Elephas maximus indicus: one gene and its partners. The protein of the gene in region 1 interacts with the protein of each later gene in a pairwise test. Links are inferred from orthologs where the notes say so. Each region holds a gene or a part of one and is shown in the gene's direction. Other genes may lie near its edges.

What was found.
Region 2: the proteins of TFCP2 (region 1) and CA1 interact in binary tests that used the Homo sapiens proteins (3 or more experiments, as listed by UniProt). The two-hybrid records come from large-scale screens. The link is inferred for Elephas maximus indicus from reciprocal best matches to the Homo sapiens genes TFCP2 and CA1.
Region 3: the proteins of TFCP2 (region 1) and CDC73 interact in binary tests that used the Homo sapiens proteins (3 or more experiments, as listed by UniProt). The two-hybrid records come from large-scale screens. The link is inferred for Elephas maximus indicus from reciprocal best matches to the Homo sapiens genes TFCP2 and CDC73.

The regions. Positions count from the first base shown.
Region 1 is NC_064822.1:106,577,730-106,586,156, reverse strand, and holds the start of TFCP2 (alpha-globin transcription factor CP2), read left to right. Parts: upstream 1-4,831; 5' UTR 4,832-5,525; coding exon 5,526-5,647; intron 5,648-8,427.
Region 2 is NC_064833.1:56,265,442-56,274,017, forward strand, and holds the start of CA1 (carbonic anhydrase 1), read left to right. Parts: upstream 1-5,397; 5' UTR 5,398-5,584; intron 5,585-8,100; 5' UTR 8,101-8,124; coding exon 8,125-8,161; intron 8,162-8,576. UniProt on the Homo sapiens protein: Catalyzes the reversible hydration of carbon dioxide. Can hydrate cyanamide to urea.
Region 3 is NC_064842.1:58,646,558-58,654,865, forward strand, and holds the start of CDC73 (parafibromin), read left to right. Parts: upstream 1-4,688; 5' UTR 4,689-4,932; coding exon 4,933-5,063; intron 5,064-7,542; coding exon 7,543-7,648; intron 7,649-8,308.

The DNA.
Region 1 (8,427 bases):
TAGGAAACCCTATGGGGGCAGTTCTACTCTGTCCTGTACGGTTGCTATGAATCAAAATCAACTCAATTGCACACAACAACAATAGGAGTCATTATTTTTATTATGGGATGAATCTATGGAAATGCACAAAATTTTGGTCTATTGATAGGTATTGCTGGGTTTGCTGGGGAGTACCTGATGGCGCTGCTCCTGGAACCTCTGCTTCCTGTCCTAGCACTCCAGTTTCACTCCTAGTTACATTAGGAAAGGGAAGGGAAGGGAGGGGTAAAGTTCATTTCCTCCTCATAAGTCTGTAAGGTCTTCTTCCCTCAGGTGGAACTGGGTTGAAGGACATTGTCATAGTTAGCTAGTGTGGCTAGAACATAGATACTGCAAATAGGTGGCTTTGAAGAACAAAAATTTATTTTCTCACAGTTCCAGAGGCTAAAAAGTCCAAATCAGGGTCTAGGTAATATCTGTTTCCACCTTGTAGGTAGGATTACGTCCACAGGAATAAAGGTTAGAATTCCAACACCTTATTTGGAGTGGGACATAATTCAGTCTATAAGAGGCATAAATATGATGGAAGCTCACCTGCATTGCGTTTGGGAGGGGCCAAGACTTGGACATCTCCTTTCGTTTCACCTCAGTTTGTTTCAGAATTAATAAATGGTAAGGAGGATTTTTCTGAAATCTTCAGTTCATAAAATTAGGCTCACACAATTTTCAAAAAGCACTTGTCTGTCTTTTTCTGAATATCGTCCAGAGGACGGGCTCCATGATATTCCTAGGGAAGTGGCAAACATCTGATGTGCATACTCCCTGTTTTATTTTAAATTCATTCCCTTTGAGCTATCCTTCTGTGGATGAGAAAACCTGCATTGTCCAATATTCCTTCATGAGCACTGTTCATTTTCTAAAAATTCAGAATTATCGCCTTCACCAGTTTTAAAACCCATTCCTGAAAGGAAGAAATAGGTGGGAAGCAGATCCCTTTTGGGCTATAACCATCCACAGAGGCAGTTAGCATGAGGGTTAGGCACCCAGACTGTGGGGTCAGAAGTCAGGCTTCACCATTCTCAAACTTAATGACCCTGGACAATCTAATTACTTTTTCTAAGCCTCAGTTTCCTTATCTATGAAATGGATTTAAGAATCTAATCTCTTATAGGGGTAATGTGAGAATTAAATGAGATAATGTACTAAAGCACCTAGCTGGGGCCTGACACTTAGGAAGGACTCAGTAAATATGAGCCAGCCTATCATTATTACCTATATTTGCTCTGTTATCTGTACAGTTTCCAGGACTATGCCATGAGCTGGGAGGCATCATGGAAGGCAAAGCTGAGTTAAGATAATCGGGGGACCTGGACTGTGGCTCCTGGCTCAGCTACTAATTTGTGTAATATTTGTTCCTTATTTAAGAATATACTTTTTGTAAGTTAGGAAGCATAATGATGAAAAAAAAAATCACCCATGAACAAAGCTATTATCTTTGTTGAAGCTGCTCCGAGTTCCTCCCCTGCCCATTCCCTGGCCTTTCCTTAGATGTGACTACCACTTGGAATTATGCTTATCATTTCACTCTTTTTGAAAGGAATGTATGTACATTTCCCTAAGTGATATAGTGCTTAATTTTGCTGAGTTTTGAGCTTTATAAAACGATATCACAGTGTATGAGGACTTCTACATTTCCACCCTTAATTCTAGGATTGATTTATTTATGTGGTTGAGGGTAGCCTTAGTTTATTCATTTTCACTGACAAAATTGAGTTCAGTATTCAACTGAAATTCAATATTCTACTCCATTCCAATTTATCCATTCTCATGTTGGTGGGCATTTGTTTTGTTTTGCTACTACAAGTAGTGTTGCCATGAATATTCTCACACAAGTCTTTTGGTGTGAATGTGAAAGAATTTTGATAGGGAAGTGGAGTAGAGTTGCTGAGTTATAATTTCAGGACATTTTCTAAAGCGGTTGTAATCCTCTTGATTTTAACCACTCTTGTCCTGAGTCTCTTTCCTCATATTAAAAACATAACAAACAAAATAAAAACTTCTATGAGGATTAAATGAGGCAATATATATTGTTGTTGTTGTTAGTTGCCGTCCAGTTGGCTCCAACCCACAGCAACTCCGTATGTGCAGAGTAGAACTGCACTCCATAGGTCTTTCAGGGCTGTGACCTTTCAGAAGCAGATCACAAGGCCTGTCTTCCTAGGTGTCTCTGGGTGGGTTCAAAGCACCAACCTTTTAGCCAGTAGTTGAGACTTAACTATCTGAACCACCTGGCTGCTGTGTAATATGTAGTAGAGTGCTATTAAAACTATTATATCATAGTAATATAATGTTATTAAAATAGCATTAACAATACATAACAATAGAGTCCCAATCTGAACAGGGAAGTGGAAGTGGGCTAGTGGGAAAATGGAGTTAATATTTATAATTACTACACATATGGCATTTTGGCACCTTGTTTAAGCCTCACAACAATTTCAGGAGGAGGTCCCCGGGTGGTGTAAATGGTTTGCTATCAGCTGCTAATGTAAAAATTGGCAGTTCTAATCCATTCAGTGGTGCTGTGGAAGAAAGGCCTGGCGATCTGCTTCTGTAAAAATTACAGAAAATTCTATGGAGCAGTTCTGCTCTGTAACACACGGGGTTGCTACAAGTTGGAATTGACTCCATGGTAACAGATTTGTTTTTGTTTGTTTATTATTTTTACTAGTGGATGGATTAAAATACTAAGACTCAGAAAGGTAAAGTCCCTTACCCAAGATCATGCAGCTAGTGTTGGAGCTGGTGTTCAAACAAGGCATGTTTTGGCCTAATAGGTGTTTGAAAATATACTGGATATAATGCTGGTCTACAAAGGATTTTGAGCCTTCAAATCTCCATGTGTGACATCTCTTTATCTCCGAACCCCAGACCATTCTTTACCCCAGGTACATGTTTTTAGGTAAAACTGGCTCAAGGGAAGAAAAAAATGGCTTGAGGAGATATTAGGTACCAGGAATTTACCAAGAGGAGGATTCATGGGTTTACCAAAATACAAAAGAAAAAAAAGAAAACCCAAAAAACAAAAAACCAAACCCCTTGCAGTTGAGTGGATTCTGACTCTTAGTGATCCTACAGGACAGAGTAGAACTTCCCCCTAGAGTTTCCAAGGAGTGTCTGGTGGATTTGGACTGCTGGCATTTTGGCTAGCAGCTGTAGCACTTAACTACTACACCAAGAGAAAAACCAAATCGAGTCAATTCCGACCCATAGCCATCCTATAGGACAGAGGAGAACTGCCCCATACTTTCCAAGGAGTGCCTGGTGGATTCAAACTGCCAACATTTTGGCTAGCAGTGGTAGACCCTAACCACTATACCACTGGGGTTTCCACAACAAGATAAACCCACTAAACCAAACCCACTGGCGTTGATTCTGACTCATAGCGACCCTATAGGACAGAGTAGAACTGCCCCATAGAGTTTCCAAGGAGCGCCTGGCAGATTCGAACTGCCACACTTTTGGTTAGCAGCCGTAGAACTTAACCACCACACCACCACAGTTCCCATACCAAGATAAATAAAAAAAAAAGATGGGTTTAAATCCAGGACCCTAAAACAGCACTGGAAGCCGAGTTAGAATCGACTTGACCCTAACAGGTAGGTAAAAGAGAGCTAGTAATGCATGGCTAGAAATGGGGGCATGCTGTCAGGGACTTCACGTCGACATTGTCTTTCTTTTTCCTCATTCTTACTCTTTTTTTCTTTCCTTTTTTAATTCAAGAAGCATCTTTTTGAAAGTCCTATTGAATGCAGGAATTATACGAGGAGATATTTAGAATACAAACTTGAAAAAAACCTAGTCCCTACTCTTTAGGAGTTCACAGAGAGAGGCAGATACATACAAAATTATAATTCAAGGCAGACTGTAAAAAAATCAGTAATACAATAAAGAACCAATACTTTCACATACAGGCAATGTGTTGTATGAAAAATGCCAGGCTTTGGATCAGTTCTGAAGTCAGCTCTGACGTTGGCTCTGCCAATTTCACCTTGCGTCCTTATTGGTAAAGTGAGGGCCATAACATTTACCTTTAGAATTATAATTCTAAGGTTGTCTTGGAGATTACTGATAACGTAATAAAGTTACTGGCATGCAGGTGACGCTCAATAAACAATGGCATTATTTAATTCTCAAAGAAGGAAGGTATGGTTATATCTACTTTACAAATGAGAAAGCTAAATCTCAGCAAGATTAAGCGGTTTATCTGAAGTCACCAAACTAGTAAATGAAGGTAACAGCCCAAACCTGGTTTTTGGAACTTTTAAATCTCAAACCATACCCCCCCCCCTTTTTTTTTAATCACAATACTTTCACTCATTTCATGCTTTCCTGTTTTTCAAATGCATTAGGGGGAATGGCGGGAGATAAAATGAATATCCAGAGAAGCCGGATTGAAACTGGGTCTTAATCTCCGGAAAGATTAGTTTAAGGAATGAGCGCATTCAAGATAGGAGGATGAGCAGGGGGAAAGGCGCGCAGCTAGCGAACGTCTGTGAAACCGCCAAGAGCCCGCCAGAGGTGGGAGCGGGTTCAGTAAGACTGCCCTAGGGCCTTAGAGCGGCGAGTAGGTACGCAGCGGATGCCAAGAACTCAAATAGCCACACAAGAGGACAGAGGGACGTTTAAACCGCGACACGCTGAACATGCACCGGTTCCCCCTCGAGAACGACCAGTCCTGCCTCCAGGGGCGGAAGCCGTGGCGTGGCTAGCCTATCAACACTCCGGAGGCCGACAAAATCTCTTCTTCATTGGTGAGCGATAGGGTCACGTCATGTTCGCCGGGTCGGCGAAGGAAGAGGGCGCCATGATTGGTTGGCGCCGGGGCGGTGGAGGGGCCTGGCGAGTCTGGGTTTCAAGCTGGTGCTTGGACTTTCCCCTTCCATGTTTCGAGACAGTGGGGCGCTGCAGAGGGTGGGGAGCCGGCTCTAAGGAAACCTGGATTTGATTCTAAGGGCCGTACTGTTTAGAAGGGGTGACCGGAAGTGATATTGGGACTGACCGGAAGCGAGGCCTGGAGGGGAAAGGAGAGTGGGTCCCGAGAGGGAGGGGGCTGCTCGTAGTAGTGGGCGGGGGAAAAGGTGCGAAAGCGGCGTGGGAGCGCCAGACTGACTGCCAGTCGGTGCTGTTGGCCTGTCTGGAAACCAGCGAGTGACCACCACGAGCTCAAAGAGGGCAGTCCAAGGAGTGGGAGTGCGGGAGTCGAGGGCTGCCCCTGGCCAGTCGGGAGTAGTTGAGCAGAGGGGGCCTCGCGCTCCAGAGAGCTGGTCGGGAGGGTTTCGGAAGCCGGGGCAGCTAAGAGCGAGGAGGAGTCAAGGGTTCGGGAGATTAGTTGTGCGAGGAGTGCCTGTGGGGCTTGGGGGTGGCTGGTGGGCACTGCTTGGGAGATCTTGGTTTGGAGTTCTCTACAGTCTTCCCCTGTTGGGTAGAATCACGCTCCGCGCCTTTGTACAAGCAACGGTGTCTCCTGGGGCAAGGAAGGAGCCGGGATGGCCTGGGCTCTGAAGCTGCCTCTGGCGGATGAAGTGATTGAATCCGGGCTGGTGCAGGACTTTGATGCTAGTCTTTCCGGGATCGGCCAGGAACTGGGTGCTGGTGCCTATAGCATGAGGTGAGTGAGATTTTTCCCAGGCCCTGTACCTACGGAATAACAAAGGAAGCATAGAGAATAAGGGGGTGGGGGTGGGAGGTGTATGGAGTTAATGAAGGTGTCTGTGGTTGGAGAAAGGGACTTGTTTCTTTTGTTGCTTTGGATAGTGAGTGTGTGGTAGAAATGGAACAAGAGATTGTAGGAATGTCAAGACTGCCGAGTCAGTGGAAGAAGGAAGAATGACTCTTAATTAGCAACCGGATGAACGTTGAGAGGCTGTTGTGCCAGTGTGGGAGACTTGGAGACTAATGATGTATGTGTAGGTGTGGATAGGTTCGTCTGGACTTGTACAAAGGTGGGACCCCGTAGAACATGAGGCATGTTTTGGGAGTTGGGGCTTAATAATGAATATTGGTTGACTGTTGGAAGTAAATGTGAGACCTTGGTGAAGAAGTCCGCACATCTGTATCTTAGCCCTGGACTGCTTTAAGGCTTTTAGTTAATTCTAGGGTTTCTGAAAGGAGCCCTGGTGGTGCAGTGCTTAAGTGCTCCTCTACTAACCGAAAGGTCGGTGGTTCAAACCCACCAGCAGCCCCGCCGGAGAAAAGACCTGGTGATCTTCCCTGGTAAAGACTACAGCCTAGGAAACCCAGTGGGGCAGTTCTCCTCTGTCACATTGGGTTGCACTGAGTCAGAATCATCTTGGCACACAACAACAGGGTTTCTGACTCTTGAAACAGAAGCTGTGCAATGAAAAGGTGGCAAAAAGAGCTTTTAGATGTTTTTAGACCTTCATGTATCAAGTCATATGTTGATGGTAAATAAAAATCTCCTTTGAAAGCAGCAATACTTCCCATATAACATGTTTACATGCATTGGCCACCTCATTCCCCACTATAGTATGTTTCATTTACATATGTGCAAGAATCACACCTGGAAATGTTGAAACAGCCACATCTTAGTGTTACCAAACAAAAACCAAATCCGTTGCCCTTGAGTCGATTCCAACTCATGTGACCCTATAGGACGGAGTAGAACTGCCCCATAGGGTTTCCAAGGAGCGCCTGGTGGATTCGAACCGCCGATTTTTATGGTTAGCAGCTGTAGCTCTTAACCACTATGCCACCAGGGTTTCCATCTTAGAGTTAGATGGAATGTAATCTAAATAAATGAGTCAAAAATAGATCTTAGAACTTCACACTTTCATTGGGTTTATGAGTTTATAGGGAAAGATGCGTCTTATGGGGAAAGTGGACAAATTTTGCATTCCACTAGATCTTTTGAGAAGTAAAGTCGCTTTCCTTACTGAAGTAAATTATGAGTTTGAACTTAATACTTCAGCATCTTCAAGAATCATTGCTTATAGTTAGAATAATGTGTAACTATTTTAGTGATTTTTTTTTCAGGGAAATTTGAGTTCTGTCATGCAATGTTTAAAGTCATGAGAAATTTAACTTTAGTTTTGCCTGTCCTTGAGCTTTGCATGTCAGTACCTGACATAATGTTTGACAGTTTATGCTGTTGTTCATGCAAAGATTACCACAGGAAAAAGTTTGGTTTTGTCCGGGTTATCAGTTTAGAATGGAAATGATGAACTATAACTGTACTTGTTATAGAAAATAGTTAATATTTTTAACAAACATTTGTGCATCTACTGTGTGCACTACTATGTAGTACTGCTGTGCCTCTACTATGTAGTGCACTACTACCATGTACACTGCCATGTGACCTTACATTTAAGAGTGCTTTCATACCTCATACCCTCTGTGGTCCTCAGAGGTATTCATACAATGACTTGCACGTTTACACACGGGAGAATTTTTTTTCCAACATCAAATCCACAATAGTTTTTTTTTTCATTCCAGGTATTTTATTGTGTATTAGGTGAAAGTCTACACAGCAAATTAGATTCCCGTTTATCAATTTTTATACAGATTGTTCAGTGTCATTGGTTACAGTTTCCACAGTGTGTGAGCATTCTCATTATTTCCATTCCATTTGTTCTGTTTTCGTTAATCTAGCTTCCCTTCCCCACCTTGCCTTTTCATGTTTGCTATTGGGTAAATGTTGACCATTTGGTCTCATAATTCATTGCTTAAGGGAGCATATTACTGATGGGTGATATTACATATTTTATAAGCCAATCTATTATTTGGCTGAAAGGTGACCTTCCAAGTTCAAAGGGTATTTAGGGTGATATTCTTGGGGGTTCATCTAGTCTCTGTCGGTCCAGTACCACCACCACCCATTGCTATCAAGTCGATTCCGACTCATAGTGACCCTATAGGACAGAGTAGAACTGCCCCATGGAGCGTCTGGTGGATTTGAACTGCTGACCTTTTGGTTTGCGCTTAATCACTACACCACCAGGGTTTCCTATTGGTCTAGTAGGTCTGGCCTTTTTAGGAATATGAATTTTATTCTGCATTTTTCTCCCATTCTATCCAGGATTTTCTCTTGTGTCCCTGATCAGAACATTAGTAGTAGCCAGGCATAATCTAGCTCTTCTGGTTTCAGGTTAGAAGACTCCGTGGTTCGTGTGGGCTGTTAGTGCTGTGGACTGGTTTCTTCTTTGAGCCTTTAATTTCCTTCGTTCTCTTTTGATCCATACAAGTAGAGACTAATAGTTGTATCTTAGATGGCCACACCCAAGCCTTTAAGCCCCCAGACGCTGCACTACTCAGCAAACTAGAATGTGGAACATTATCTTTATGAAATAGGTTGTTGCCTGAGACTATGGTCCTAAGCCTTTAACCCAGTAAACCAATCTGAGAGTTGTTTGGATATGTCTAAGAAGCATC
Region 2 (8,576 bases), on another chromosome or scaffold:
AGGAATGGGAATTTCAGAACAATCATGCTAATGCTGAACCTGTACCTAGACCAAGCGACAGTCATTTGAACAGAACAAGGGTGGTTTGAAATCAGTGTGTCAGTGTTGTACCCTTTCACCATACCTATTTAATATGTATGCTGGACAAATAATCCAAGAAGCTATACTATATGAAGAAGAACGTGGCATCAGGATTGGAGGAAGACTCATCAACAACCTGCGATATGCAGATGACACAATCTTGCTTGCTGAAAGCAAAGAGAACTTGAAGTACTTACTGATGAAGATCAAAGACTACAGCCTTCAGTACGGATTACACCCTAATATAAAGAAAACAAAAATCCTCATGACTGGAGCAATAAGTAAAATCATGTTAAATGGAGAAAAGATAGAAGTTGTCAAGGATTTCATTTTGCTTGAATCCACAGTCAATGCCCATGGAAGCAGCAGTCAAGAAATCAGACCATGTATTGCATTGGGCAAAATCTGCTGCAAAAGACCTTTTAAAATGTTAAAAAGCGAAGATATCGCCTTGAGGACTAAGGTGTGCCTGACCCAAGTCATCGTATTTTCAATTGCTCATATGCATGTAAAAGCTGAACAATGAATAAGAAAGCCTGGAGAAGAGTTGGTGCCTTGGAATTATGGTGTTGGTGAAGAATATCGAGTATACCGTGGACTGCCAGGAGAACAAAGAAACCTATCTTGGAAGAAGTGCAGCTCCTTAGAGGTGAAGATGGCGAGACTTCATCTCACATACTTTGGACATGTTCTCAGGAGGGACAAGTCCCTGGAGAAGGACATCATGCTTGGCAGGGGGCCAGCAAAAAAGAGGAAGACCCTCAATGAGATGGATGGACATAGTGGCTGCAACAATGGCTCAAACATAGCAATTGTTGTGAGGATGGTGCAAGACCGAGTAGTGTTTTGTGCTGTTGTACACAGGGTCGCTATGAGTCAGAACCAACTTGACGGCACCTACCAATGACAATAATCAAACTCATTGGCAACTCATGAGATACAGCAATATTCCTCTGGGAAATAGTCCCCTATAGTTGGTGGCAGGTTGATGGACTGAATCCCCCTTCATCAGGGGCCACATGTTATGCTGTAACCATGGCAGATACCTACACTGGCCTTCTACTGCCCTTTCCTATTGGACTTGCTGTGGCCAAAATGCCAATCACTCGCCTTACTAAAACCATTCTAGCCCTTCAGAACTCCTGACAGTACTGATTCAGATCAGAGTTCCCATTTTGCAGCATATGTAGCAAAACGATGGGCTTTGGAACAGGTTATTCAATGGAATTGTCATCTGGCATATCACTGCAGGGAGCTAGAACAGGCTGCTCAGCAATATCTTGAACGAAACCTGAGCCATTTTTCCTTTCCGTAGCTTGTCTCTGTCTCCAAGTGTGATTTTGCTGTTAGCTCCTCTAAAAGTTAAATGTTAACCAGTGTTTCCCCTAGGACGATGGGAAAACAAGCGATATCTAAGTCTGTCAAACAGGATGATGCTCATCAGGATGGCGCCAGTCAGCCCCTGGGCTGATGGGATAATGGCAGGGAAAGATCCAGATGTTTGAGATGTAATCACCCTAACGACACAGAAAGAGAATGGACATTCCTCAAGTTCCTCAAACCCATGTCCCCTTTTCCCTATAAAACCCCACCAAGATGGACTGCAGTTTCTCGAGACAGACAGCTTTAGGAGATCATTCCCCTCTGTCTCCATTTACTGGTATATATGATAAAGCTCTTGCTACCCACCTCACCCCGTCTCAAGAACTTTGCGGCAGGTGGCTCTAACTCGTGAAATTGCAGTAACAGAGCCAGTTTAACTGAGAGACGTAACAGTATCAAAAAAACAACTGCTTTCTAAACTCCAGTCTAGCAAGTAGACTTATAATTGGGCCTCATTTTTGCCCTGAGGCCTAATTTCTCTTAATTCTAGATTTTTGGATAGGCTTATACCACATACTAATTTTTACAAGCCTTCCCATTGCCATTTTCTATATTTAAAAGGGAAATATCACAGTTTGGGGGGCAGTGGTGGTCCAGTGGTAGAATTCTCAACTTCCATGCAGGAGACCCAAGTTAGAGTCTCAGCCAGTGAACCTCAAGCACAGCCACCACCCGTGTGTCAGTGGAAGCTTTCATGTTGCTATGATGCTGATCAGGTTTCAGTGGAGCTTCCAGACTAAGACCAAGAAGAAAGCCCTTGAAATCTACTTCTGAAAAATAAGCCTATGAAAGCTCTGTGGATCATAATAGTCCGATCCCATCGTGCATGGAGTCACCATGAGTGTGTGGTGGGTGGGAGGGGGGGCCAACTTGATGGCAGCTAACAATGATAGATCTCATCTTCATCTTTATGAGGATTCTCTAGACTGGAAATCTTTCACTAATATCTCCTCCCAAGAACATGGATTTTCAATCTCGACCCCATCCCAGGCCAAATGGAGGGCTCATACACACCTGGGACCATTAACAGTAGATTGACAGGGCACCTGCACATTTGTGACCCATTCAAACCTAAATTTCCAACACCTAGAAACATTCCACACTATTTAGGTTATAAGGGATGCGTGATTGATCCAGCCTCCCCCTCTGATCCCCTACAGGAAATTAAAATTATTGCTCCAGGACCCTTTCCATAGACCACCAAGAAGGAAGATAAGCAACTCCACAGAGTAAATGAAAATTCCACTAGAAAATAATGATGGAACCAACGCCCTAATCCACCATGATGAAACCAGACAATTCCTCCTTGGTGATAACTCATGCCAGAGGGAAAGAAGCATCAAACAACAAAAAGCGTTTAAGATGAAGTTTCATACCTTTCTCTCTTGGTCTTGTTACTATTCCTCTGGTGCTTTCATTGATTGTAATCTGGAGGCTCAACCCTCCACATAAGCCATTGTTAAAGTCAAACATGGCAAATGCTGAGGCTCACATGCCATCAACTTCGGCTAATGCAAGTCCTGCAATCCAAAGACCTCACCAGACAACTGAAGCAAAGGAGTGATAATAATTGGCTAAATTGGAGGGCCTGCCTACAGGCTAACAATGGAGCTCCAACCTGTCACAGATATTTTAATTGGCAAGCAACCTAATATCCTATTAACATGCACCCAAATTAAGCCATGTGATTTAAAAACCTATTTGCAGCAGAATCCCCTATCATCATCCATCTGGGCAAAACCTTGGACTGCTGGGAGCTTTTAGATTTGGCCACCTTAATTGAGGCTTTAATTGTGCCAGGCAGTTTCCAGTGATTATGTTCAATCATGGCAGTATCGTGAATGCCACCATCACTTTTGCTAGCTATGCACCCAGAAAACATATATGCAAATCAAGCTCCTGGATCCAACATTGTCTTCAAATTCTACAAGTGGCTCCTCCCTGTTAAAATACCATAGAACCTCAAAAATATGACCCACATCACCTTGAGTGAGTACTGATAAAACTGTAAGTCCTCCCGCCCTCCTCACCATGATTATAATTTTACTTTGTACCATGTTAAGCCCTTATTGGGCCAAGTCCAATGCCTCCAAGATTAAAATTCCCTCTAATATGACTCACCTCTCCTGCCTAGGTGACACAAAAAGTTAAGTGCTCAGCTAGTAGCCTAAAGGTTAGCAGTTCTTATTTACCCAGAGGCACCTCGGAAGAAAGGCTTGGTAATCGCAGCCATCGAAAACTCTTTGGAACACAGTTCTACTCTGAAACACATGAGGTTGCCATGAGTCAGAATTGACTCAGTAGCAACTGGTTTTGTTTTTCCCTCCAGCGTAAAGGCTGACCTTACCAAGGTATTCATGCTATGTGCTCTCCTAGATATAAGAGGAGAATTCTGCTGGCCTCCCAATGCTCAAATCATTCATTTCCCTTCATATTTTTTTCCCTCCATCTTCCTCATTATTCAGCATCCACAGCCCCACCTTAGTCTCTTCTATCCTTTCAGTGACTACCCCTTTCATCCTCCAAAAGACCACATAGCAAATGAAATTCAAACTCATCAACAAAGCTCTTTGAATATGTACACAGGCATCCAACATACATATATATTCTTTTAACTGAACCAACTGAACTAGCTTCTCATGCACTGATTGTCTGTTTGAATTTGCCATTAGTCTGCTTCCAAATATACCACACCAAACATTTATCCAGCTGATACCTGGCCCAGAGATGGAAAATATTGGGAAATTAAAACCTCCTCCAAACTGCTACTTCCCTTGTATCTCGGGCACTCCCTATGGCAAATGGTAATTGTTCTTATGTTTCCTCAATACACAGCACATATGAGCTACCTAATGGATGACTCTAAACCCTTACTATATGCCCAGCAAAATCAACTGTCTACCTTCAGTCCCGTTCTTTAGTAATTCCCAGTTTTTCAATCTAAAAATAACACCACCAGATTATATTGTGGTCCAGTAGACAAGGGTTCTCATCCCCTCTAATTTGCTCTTCCAGTACCCCTAAGCCACAAACCGCATTGATTAGTTCCAGCCTCTCTTGGCCTTCCCGTTTATGTAAAGATTAATCATTCTTACCCCACTCCAGCCAAATATCATTGACATGTCCCTGTCATATCTATAATATGGAACTTTCTACCACTTTGGGACTTGCTAAGACAGTTACAGGGACCATCACTCTAACTCAACAATCAAAATCATTGACACTAACCTATGAATGTCCAAATATCTAGTATCTCACATTTCTTAAAGTACAACAAATATTAGACCTGCTTAATCAAGGCCATAGAACCCTCACAAAAATGGTTTTTGGTGATACATTGGCTCTTAATTCTTTATTAGGTAATCAAGGAGGCATTTGTAGCATTATTAGTACTTTGTTTTGTTCGCAGGTAACAACATTGGTCAAGTGGCCACTCCAACACACAGCTTGGACCACAAAATCATCATCACAAAAACTGAACCTACACCTTTATCACACTCCACAATTCAACCAAAGTATTTCTAGAGTATCCTGCCATAACTAATTTATTCTCTTTGATAACACCAAATGGGGAACGTGGCTATAAGCCAGTCTTCAGGGATTTCTCAGGCTTTTACTTGGGTTCTTTATTTTTACTGTCATAATCTAACGATTTCTATGCTGTTTAGAGCAACTATGCCCTACTCCCCTACTATTCAGGCCACTCAAATACCACAAATAATTGAACTTGAAGCTGTTGTCAAGAAATCAAGGAGTCAATTGTAACCTAGTTTTTGTTTTGTTTTTAGTGCTGGCTCAACCTAACTTTGAGGCCCTGGCTAGAGGCCAATCAGTTCTTCTACAGCAACTGATTAAGTCTACACCTCAACTACTTCCTCTATCAGGCTCTAACACTCTGGGGCCACTACGTACCCACCCTAATCACCCTGGGGCCAGATATCAAATGACTGGGAACCGTTTTTATGCCCCAGAGCTCACAAAATTATTCAAATTCGCCAATTCACTGGGAGCCTGCCTACCTAGCTAACCCCACTTTGCTTTCCATACTTAAGCCATCTCCAACGTCTCCAGTTTACTGAGCCTGTTTGGCACTGCTGACTGCCTTCTCTCATTTGGAGCTGTAAGTAACAAAGATTTCTGCTTTTCATCTATCCAAGTGTCTTTGTGTTGTGCCCTACCATTTAGAGACCCTATAATCACGCCTAATATCATATGATGATAAAACAAGGTGTCAGAGCCTAAATCATAGATACTCATTAAATTCTACTTCCTTTCTCTATATAGTTTTCTGCTTGTCCGAGTACACAAACACACCCTGGGTAGATAATGGAGTAAAGGGTCGTAATGGTAAGGGTTTAAAGTAATTGTGTACCTAAAACTTCAAGTGAATTACCATCTCATATTTTTTTTTTATGAATGTTAAAACATTTACGTGCTGAATTATCCTGTAATGAAAAAGGGGTTGTCTTTTTTCAAATATATTGGTCAATATAGTGATTACAGTGGTTTCTGACAAAGAATTTAGGTTCAAGAGACAAATTACCTGGCCAAGAGTAGCCTGTACTGTTGTTCCATGAGCTTCTGGTGAAGCCTGAGGTCATAAGTCTGGATGAATTAATCTTGACTGTTGAGCCAGACCAGTCCAGATCAACTAAGCAAGTCTTCCAGAAAATAGAATCAAAAGGAGGCCAAAGGACATTTTTTTGACAGTGGAAGGGTCTGTCTGTAAAGGTTAAGAAAGAAAAGAAGCTTTGTAGTTAGACTTACTGTTAAGCCCTAGATTTATGGACTGTAAACAGCCACTTCCAAGCTCTGTAACTCTGAGGAGGTGTCTTCACCTCTGTAGGCCTCAATTTCTTTGGATGTAAAACAGATTTTAATGTTAAAATAAAAAAATCAGCTTCCATGGGAACGCTTTTGTGAGAATAAGTGAAATACTGCATGTAAAGTTTTTAGCATGGCATTTGATACATATTGGTCGCTTAATAAATGTTACCTTAAAAGATAAAGCTCTTTTAAAAGATTTTTCCTTCTACCAACAAAACCTCTTCTCGCTCTGTGAATGTCCATGAGCCATAGTTCAGTCTGCATATGAAGCAGCAGGCTATTCTGATCTACAAAGAAATAAACATGTCCTTGGTGAGCACTGCTAAAAATTGCTTCTCATCCCACTCTTCCCTCGGGGAGCCAGGCAGCTCATGATTCTACAGTGCGAATGGAGATATGTCTTTTTCTAGCATGAAAAAAGGATTACTATGGAAGTTTATTTTTCTGGTTGCATTTCCTTTGAGTACACTTAGAGCCTCAAGAATGTGGGCACATTCTAATCATTTTTCTTTGACTCCCTGAAAAGCCCTGTAGACCTTCTCATCACTCAACAAGTGGCAGTTCTCACCCTGGTGTGGACTTAAATGTGACTTAAGAAAATTGTGGGCATAGAAGGAGATTTAGGGATCATCCGTCTCATAGCTCACCCAGTGTCACATCTGCTGGAGGTATAGTGAAGAAAGAAAATGAACTTGGAGGCCGAAGTCTTGGCTTCTTGGTTTTTTGATAGTTGTGGTGAAGTCTCTCAATATCTGTCAACTACAAAATGATAATTCTTACTTTAAAGGTTTTTTTTTGTGGTGGTAAAATAATATGAAAATTCTTTATAGATTGTATTGTTGTTTATGTTAAGTGCCGTCAAGTTGGTTTTCAACTCATAGTGACCCCATGGGACAGAGTAAAACTGCCCACAGCTTTTCTAGGCTGTAATCTTTACAGAAGCATATTGCCAGGTCCTTCTCCCTCAGAGCAACTGAGTGGTTCAAACAGCTGACCTTTCAGTTAGCAAGCAAGCACTGAACCATTGCACTAATAGACCCATTCAATGTGTAAAATAAACATTGGGCCTGAATTTAAATATTAATTAATTTTTGTATGAATTCCATTATTACTCCAAAATGGACTTTGTTCTCATCCTGAGTGTGTTTATGAAACGCACCATTCTGAATTATACGTATTACAAACCATCAGTAACTTTTTTATCTGATGTTAAATTAATGTCGTGATGCTAGTTCAGATCAGTCTATAAACATGCAAATTTTTCTTATTAATTAACTGTTGTTTTAATATTGCTTAGGAGGCCTGGTGGCATAGTGGTTAAGAGCTGCTCCTTGGAAACACTATGGGGCAGTTCTACTCTGTCCTATGGGGTCGTTATGAGTCAGAATCGACTCAACTGCAGTGGGTTTCGTTTTATTGGTAATATTGCTTAAAAGTATCCAGCAAGGGCAGAATTGGAAACAGCAAGTGCACAAAGTCATGGGTAATTTAGAAAATCCAAAGAATGGCGTGTGATAGTTTTCAGCCGCATATTCTAATACCATGAGAGAGACAGGGCTTGGTTTTATAAAAACTAAGATTTCGCTATTTCTGTTTTACAATATAAAAAAAAAAAAAAATGAAACTGACATGACCCTTGTGAACTTTTTTTTACAACATCTCTTTTTACATATACACATTTCCTTATAGGCTGAGATGGTGAAATAGTAGCATATTAAAGGACAGGGAACTTCTATAAAAACCCCAAGTGGTGGTGTCTACTGCATGCACGGTCACCGTCAGTAATTACAGGTGTTATCTTTGTTTCAGAAAAAGAAAACTAACTGCAAGACCATGGCAAGTGCTGACTGGGGATATGATGTCAAAAATGGTAAGAGCTCTGCTCAGATAGATCAGAGATAATAGCTTATTCTCTTTTCAGTAGCAGAGGTATTAAGCGTTCAAAATAGCTCTGTAGTCATAGGTTAATAGTTTGAATTATTTGTTTTGAATAATTGTAATATCTTTACATGTATTCTTAGCAGCTGTTCTTTGGTATGGTTGTCTACAAAATATATTTTCCAAAAGCAAAATTCCTTCATGTACCTTCAATAGATAGATTTTACTATTAGAAATCTATTGCTAATAATAAAATATTTATAGTCTTAACCTATAGGCTATGAGTATGAGCCTGTATTACTAGTGTTGACAAATATACTGCTTTATAGTATAGTATAGAAAAGGGGCATCTTCAACATTGAATGCCCATTAAGCTAAACAGAATGTCACAGTCCAGCAAACAGGTA
Region 3 (8,308 bases), on another chromosome or scaffold:
GCCTGCATGGTTTCTGCTGAGCAGTCTGAGCTTATTCTTATTGACTCTCCTTTGTAGGTGACTTTTCATTTATCCCTAGCTGCTCTTAAAATTCTTTTTTATTTTTGGCTTTGGCAAGTTCGATTATGTCTTGGTGACTTTCTTTTGAGATCTGCCTTTTGTGGGGTTTGATGAGCATCTTGAATACATATCTTCTCATCTTTCACAATATCAGGGAAGTTTTCTGCCAACAAATCTTCAAAAATTATCTCTGTATTTTCTGTTATCCCTCCCTGTTCTGGTACTCCAGTCACCCATAGGTTATGTCTCTTGATAGAGTCCCACGTGATTCTTAGGGTTTCTTCATTTTTTAAAAAATTCTTTTATCTGATTTTTCTTCAAATACACAGGTGCCAAGTGTTTTATCTACAATCTCACTATTTCTGGCTTCAATTTCCTCAATTCTGCTCTGCTGACTTTCTATTGAGTTCTCATATCTGTAATTTTATTGTTAATCTTATGATTCTTGGAGCTTATTACATTTTTCATTATGTTCTTGAATAACCTTTTTAATTTCTTCAGCTTCTTTATCTGTGTGTTCCTTGGCTTGCTCTGCGTTTTGCTTGATCTCGTTCCTGATTTCTTGAAGAGTTCTGTATATTAATCTTTTGTATTCTACATCTGGCAGTTCCAGAAAGATATCTTTATCTGGAAGATTCCTTGATTCTTTGTTTTTAGAGCTTGTTGAAGTGATCGTGGTCTGCTTCTTTATGTGATTTGTTATTGACTGATGTCTCCAAGCCATCTTTAAGCTATTATATCAGTTTATTTTAAGTTTGTTTACTGTATCCTAGCTTCTTTGTTTTGTTTTGATATGCCAAAATAGGCTATGTGAATGAGCTAGCTTGATTAGTTTTGCCTTTGAAGCACTAACGTTCTGTGACCAGTGGCTAGAGCTGTCACCAGGTTTATGAGCCTAGGAGCCCATTCACTTTTCTTGTATGGGTTCAGCTCAGGTGTCCAGGTAGTTGGTCATCAAGTGTGTGATACAGACTCTGTCCTACAGTCTTAGAGGGGCAGGGGTGATTGGTGTAGGTACCGGTATCTGGTTGCAGCAGGGGGTCATGCTTTGAACAAGGTATGGGGCTGACAACTATCTCCCAAGCATCTGTGAGGAAAGACTGATTCTTCCCTAGAGCACACAGGTGGCTGGGTTTTGTAGCTGGACCATGGGCACCTAATGCTTTTGGTTGTAAGGACTGGGAGGCACCACTTATCCTTGGACCCCTGTTGCGGTGACTAGATGATGTGGGTGGAGCCACCAATCCTCAAGCCCCTGATGTGGGCTGCTGAGGACCCTGTTTCACAGGCAAAATGCTGTCAAAGACCAAAACCTTCCCCTCCACTGCACAGTTGAAACAGTTGAAACCAGATCTCAAGCACATACACCATTGCAGTCTGCCAACAAAGGCCTATTCTCCTGAAATGGGCCCACACGGGTCTGCATAGGGGTGAAAGTTATTCGAAGTCTGCAGCCTCTTTGTGCCTGGACAGGAGCTGCTTCTGTCCTGAGCCCCCCATCTTAGTGGAGCTGGCAGATTATCTTTCCCCCTAATTGTTAATTTATTCCTTCTCCATGGCTGGGAGAATGGCTAAGGCGTGCAGTAAGACCTATCTCAGGCCTAGGGATCTCGACAACCACTGAAGCCAGTTTGAGGGCTGGTTTCATGGTAAAATAAACGCAATACTTAGCTTTTGTCAAGAGTGCTGTTCTTCTCTGCTTCCGGAGGTGTGAGTAGACTGTGCAGTGCACTGTCTCTCCCTGAGTAAGCAGCATCTGGAACGCTACAGCCAGCCCTGCCACGGTTGCTGTAGTGGATCGTGCCTGAGGGTTGCTGGTTTCCATAGAGTCAGGTCTGGCAACTCCTTGCTGCTTCTGAACTGTCTCTCCCTCCCCTGCCACTCAGTCTGATTTCCTAACTTTGCCTTTGATGTTCAGGGCTCCTAGCTTGTCCTATATATAATCATTTCAGTTGTTTTTTTGGGTCTTTGTTGTAAGAGGGATCACCGGAAGCGTCTGACTACCCCGCCATCTTGGCCCCATCATCCATCTTCTTTTTGATGCCTGCGTTATTCAATATTTTGCCCATTGAGTTCCTCAATATTGCAACTCTAAGCTTGACTTTTTTTCTTCAGTTCTTTCAGCTTGAGAAATACCAAGTGTGTTACTCCCTTTTGGTTTTATAACTCCAGGTGTTTGCATGTTTCATTATAATTCTTTGTCTTCTCGAGCTGCCTTTTGAAATCTTCAGTTCCTTTAGTTCGTCATTTCTTCATTTGCTTTATGTAGTCTATGTTCAAGTGCAAGTTTCAGAGTCTTCTGACATCCGTTTTGGTAAAAATATTGAATTTATTCATCTTTTACCTTAGTGGTTGGTGTATAAATTTGAATAATAGTCATATTAACTTGTCTTCCTTATAGGCTTATGGATATTATCACTGGCAGTGTTGTACTTCAGGATAGATTTTGAAATGTTATTTTTGATGATGAACGTGACATCATTCCTCTTCAATTTGTCATTCTCAGCATAGTAGATCATATGATTGTCTGATTCAAAATGGCCATTACCAGTCCCTTTCAGCTCACTAATGCCTAGAATATTGATCTTTATGCGTTCCATTTAATTTTTGATGACTTCCTGTTTTCCGGGACTCATAGTTTGTACATTCCACGTTCCCATTATTAACGGATATTTGCAGCTTTTTCTTCTTAATTTTGAATTGTGCTACATCGGCAAATGAAGGTCCCAAAAGTTTTACTCTATCCATGTCACTATGGTCAACTCTATTTTGAGGCGCCAGCTCTTCCCCAGTTGTATTTTGAGTGACATCCATCCTGAGGAGCTCATCTTCTGGCAATATATCAGACAATGTTCTGTTGCTATTTGTTAAGTTTTCATAGCCAATTTTTTCAGAAATAGATTGCCAGGTCCTTCTTTGTAGTCTGCCTTAATATGGAAGCTCTGCTGAAAGCTGTCCATCAAGGCTGATCCTGCTGGTATTTGAAATATGATGGCATAGCTTCCAGCATCACAGCAACATGTAAGCCACTACAGTATGACACACTGACATAATAGTAGGGCATGTTATATGCTAAATAATGTGCAAGGTATTAGGATATGACAGTAAAGGTCTACAGCCCTTTAGTTTTGTAGATAAAGACAGGTTAGTAAACTAATAAGGGCAGTCAAGTAATATTGGCTGCACTGATCAAAGTATGAATAGAGTAGGCTGTGTAGGGATAAGACAGTAGTCAGTTAGAGTGGGTTTGTTTTGAGTGAGATTCAGGAAATCATCCTAGGGGTGAGAACATGAGAACATGTGCAAAACAGGTAAAATGTATCAAATTCACAGTTGCAGAATGACTACAGATAGTACAGCAATGAACCACATACTTTTATATCATCTCCTATTGCACATAGCAAAAATTTATTTCTTTCAAATCAGGAGAAGGAATTTGGGTGTGTCAATCACCTTCCTTTTTTTCCCCCTTTTACTTTAGTAGAAAGAATAATTATAACAAAATTATGGGACCCAAGATATACATTTTGCTTAGAGTACACAGGTTGAATTTATTTCAACTTTCCCAACACTGGTAGGACACTCATTGAGTCTTCTGGGTGCCAGCAAAAATCAGGTTGTCTGAAAGTGTTCTTCTACTGACAACAGTTTCGGGTTCCTGGTTTTTAACTTTTCCATTAGTATCTCAGAACAGGGCCCTTGTAGCCCATTGGGAATAGGGATGAGGGAAAGGGCCAAAATGGGGAAAGTCATGTGTGGAATTAAAACAACTAAAAAAAGCATTGCAGTTGAGTCCCTTCTGACTCATAGCTACCCTACAGGACACAGCAGAACTGCCCATAGGGTTTCCAAGGAGCGGTTGGTGGATTTGAACAGCCAGCATTTTGGTTAGCAATCATAGCTCTTAACCACTGTGCCACCAGGACTCCATGTATGGAATGGAGGGTGTAAAGAGAACATTTATGTTATTTTGATGATTTAGTAGACACTTTCACCTTATTCTCATACAATCCTCATAACATCCCTGAAGCTAATATCTGTATATTAATCCCATTTTATCCATTAAACCAATTGGTGCTGCTGTGAGAACGTTTGTAATTTGACCAAACTCAAACAACAGCTAATAAATAGTGGTTCCCGGAATTGAGGTCTGCCGTACTCGGTCTTTTCCACTAAGACAGTCCACCGAAAAAAACTCTTCTAAAGGAGTTTATCTGGATCACATTTAGAGGCCTTTTGGTAGATCTAGGTCATATCTAGATGGGAAGGTAATCCTACTTTTCCTGCAAATCCTTGGCCAAGCTCCACCCTCGCAAAGTAGCGACGCGAGAGCCTTTGGCCGCCCCCAAAGAGGTTGCACAGGGCTCAGCGAGTGCTCCAGGGAGAGAAGGATACACCAGCCACGCAGGTGCGCGCGCACCTGTCGCCTGTGGAGTGCGCGCTGCGGGGGATGAAGTACGTGCTTCGCGCGCGTGCGCGGGTAACCGGCAATACTCCTTGTACGTGCGCCGTACGTGGGCACAGAGTCCCTGCGCTCCGCGTTCGGTGTCGAGTGGAAGTCTGGGAGGGGCATTTTCCCGGGCGCTCACGGCTCCCCCTGGCGGCGGCCCGCAGCGCCGGAGGCGTGCAGTCAGGCGTTCTCCGCGGGCAGCCGGCGGCGGGGCCTTTGCCTTCTAGCGCGGGGTCCTCGGCGGCCTGGGTGGCTACTGCTCCCGCTGCTGTCGTAGGCGAGGGCGGCTGCTAGTTGCTCCGCTGTCTGTTCGCGGCAGCGTCGGCGGCGGCCGCTGAGGACGACGAGCCGACGGAGGAAGGCGGAGGCAGGCGCGGCGGCGGCGGCGGCGCCCGGGTCCGGCGGCGGCGAGGGGGGGGAAGATGGCGGACGTGCTCAGCGTCCTGCGACAGTACAACATCCAGAAGAAGGAGATCGTGGTGAAGGGAGACGAAGTGATCTTCGGGGAGTTCTCCTGGCCCAAGAACGTCAAGACCAACTATGTGGTGTGGGGGTAAGTGCGGTATGGCCGTGGCCGGGCGGCAGGGAAGAGTTGGGCGCCCCCAAGTGACCTCTTTGCTGAGCCCTCCTCCCGTTTCCCCTGGGGACGGGGACGAACAGGGTGCTCGGGCGAAAAGTTTCTGTCCGGAGCAGAAGTTGCACTTTGGGCTGAGACGCTGTGTCTGGAGCGACCCACCTCTTTAGAATTGGGGAAGCCATAGAAGAAGGTGACTTTTCTCGTTCATTTTTGTAGGTATGTATCGAGTACCCGTAATGTGTAGGGCTGGTGCACAAGTACACCTGAGCGTAGGTGCACAAAGGAACACATCATTTGGTGCCGGGGACGTCCCTGTTTGTTCTTTATTTCTCTTCTTTGATGCTGCCGTGTGTGGTGACTGTCTCCCCTGGCCCTGCAGCTCCTGCTTTATTTCTTCCCCTTTCGTGTTGGAGAGGGGGGTTATCCCTTAAGAGAGAAGGGAATCAACTCTGTGAAGTTTAGGTGGGAAGCGGTTTAGATTAATTTGGAAGAGTCGTCAAAATCTGTGTTGGAGGCGGAGGCAGGCGTTTCCTCAGGGAAAAAGTTGGTAGTGGAATGGAGTGAGTGTTTTATAGGTCTAATTAAGAAATTGAAGATGCGCATGGTTTTGGGAAGTGTGAGTTAAAGAAAAATGGCTTGGAACGTTGATCCACGTGGGGTTTCTTGAATTTAAATCACTCAGCGAAACATCCAGAGACAGGTCTAATAATCATTAAAAAAAATAGTGACGCCACTTTTCTTTGGTGCTTCCTTTGGGCGTTAGAACCTTGAACCAGGACTTCCATATCCAGCTTTGTTTGACTGAGGGAAAGATAGAGTGAAGCGGGGCAGTGGGCTTTATGAAGAGTTGCCCAGAAGTTAAGGGCAATTTTGTTTGTTGGTTGGTTCTTTTGTTTTTATTTTTATCTCGAGGTCTTATGATTTAATTTAGCTTTATGAAATGTGAGTGAAATGACATTCTCAGTTTACTGTGGGAAGTTTTAAAGAAATTTTTTATTTTAATCTTTACAAAATAATTTGCATGGACAAGATTACATATGATTGAATTTTTAATTTTTTTTCTTCTCTAGGAAAGTGGTTTAGGAATACCCAGGGTGCAGGGCAGTTCAATAATCAATGTGAGAAATAGAAAAATTCTTAAGACCTTGATCCCTGCCTCAGAGGAGGTTTATTTAATGTGAATAGAGACGATAACATAAATTGATGTGAAGTGTTTTCTGTCTCATAAAAAGAAAGCAGTCACTTCAGTCGGGTGGATGTTAGGAAAAATTTCATAGATGTAAGTTTGGCATGTTGGTTTCTAATACATTTTTCTTGAATAAATGAATAATCTTTAAAGAACGGGCAGGAATTCTGTGAGTAAAACGGTGGGTTAGGTCTTCCAAGATGATAGAACTGCATGTATAGAGGCATGAGAGCTGGAAAGTAAATGTGTTCACAGATAACAATAACAGTGAAAAAAGCATGCTTAGAACAGTAGGTTTCAAACTTTCAGAACAATGACTCAAACCAAGAAATATATTTTCATTCATATATATCTATACGTGCAAACGTTAACATTTTTATAGCTACGTAAATAGATATAACATTAAAGCTCTTGTTGCATGCAGTGCATTGTTATTTTTCTATTCTTTTCTATATCACCAAAAACAAAGAAAGCCTGGTAGTTACCCATACAGTATTTGATTTCATAGCATAGCGATGTGTGGCTTGAAATACATTGATTTAAAGGAAAAATAGGAATAGAAGCTAGGTAAGTAGATTCAGGGCTAATTGCAGTGGGCTGCATTCAGATGAATTCTAATAATATACTGACCATTTCACTTCTGGGTGGGAGAATGAAGTAAGAGGAGTGGGATCAGACGCCAACGTTGGTTTGGCAAGTAATATGCTTGAGTTAGAGAGGCTGCATCCCTAGGTGCGGCTGCATTTTGGGTAACGTCACTGGTCTAATCTGAGGGGTGTCGTAAGAAGCGTACCTCTAAAATTCATTGTCGGTTACTGTAAGAATTGTTGAGGATGTTGTTCAGCAGTATCTACTTTAGGAAGAGCCGTAAGATAAAATTGTCTTAAGTTGTAGCACCAATCATAGCTGTGCTTCTCCTTAACAATTTCGTTGTTTCTCATATAAGTTCTCCCTTATCTGTAACTGGTTAGGTTTCTCTTGCTATTGACAAAGTTCTGAGCCTAATTCTAAAAAGTTTATAGTACCAAAGAGCGTGAATTTTGCGTGCTTTCCTTTTTTCTTGCTTTTTCTCCTCGTTTTCCTTTGTGTTCTTTTTGTCCTAAAAACAGTTTGACTTAGTAGTCAATTTATATACTTTAGTGTGTTTTGGATAGCTATTTTAAATCCATTGTTAAGCAGCAAAGTGGGTATAAATAAATGAGTACCTTAAATTAAGCTCAAATTGTTGAATTAGAATTGTTGGTAAAAATCTTGCCTTAATGATTTTAGGACTGGAAAGGAAGGCCAACCCAGAGAGTATTACACGTTGGATTCTATCTTATTTCTTCTTAACAATGTACACCTTTCTCATCCTGTGTATGTCCGACGTGCAGCCGTAAGTAGAATTTATTTTAAAATTGCTTCTTTGAATTAATGTTAGATATTACTTGACATGGGTAGCTTTCCTTATATGTTTCAAATCAGAAAGATCAAAAGATCCATCTGCATGAAGGTCTCAAGGAAAAAAGAAAAAAACCAAACCTATTGCTGTTGAGTCGATTCTGACTCATAGCGACCCTATAGGACAGAGTAGAGCAGCCCCGTTGGGTTTCCCAGGTAGGTTTGAACTGCCGACTTCTGGTTAGCAGTCAAAAGCTTAGCTACTGCACCACCAGGGCTCTTTGAAGGATCAAAATTGGGCGACCGTTTGTGATTTGTGCACACTTTTTAATCTGTGATTTTTTTCATGTAAACTGTGTGTAATGTTTATGGTAGTAGATGTTTTAAAGCTATTTATGGTTTTTTTTTTTTTTTTAAAGAATTCATGTACCTGTGGTAGAACCCAGATATTCAGAACTCTAATCGCAAGAAAACATTTTTTTTAAATGTCATAAGAAAGAATCAAAATTAACAGACAGCTTTTAAAAGTTAACTTTTAATCAGTTTAATAAAATTTTTCATATACTCCTGATAAATTAATTTTTCAGTTTTGCCTGCTTTCTGAATCTCAGTTTTGAAAATTTATTACTCAGAAGAAACATTAGAAATGCTTGAA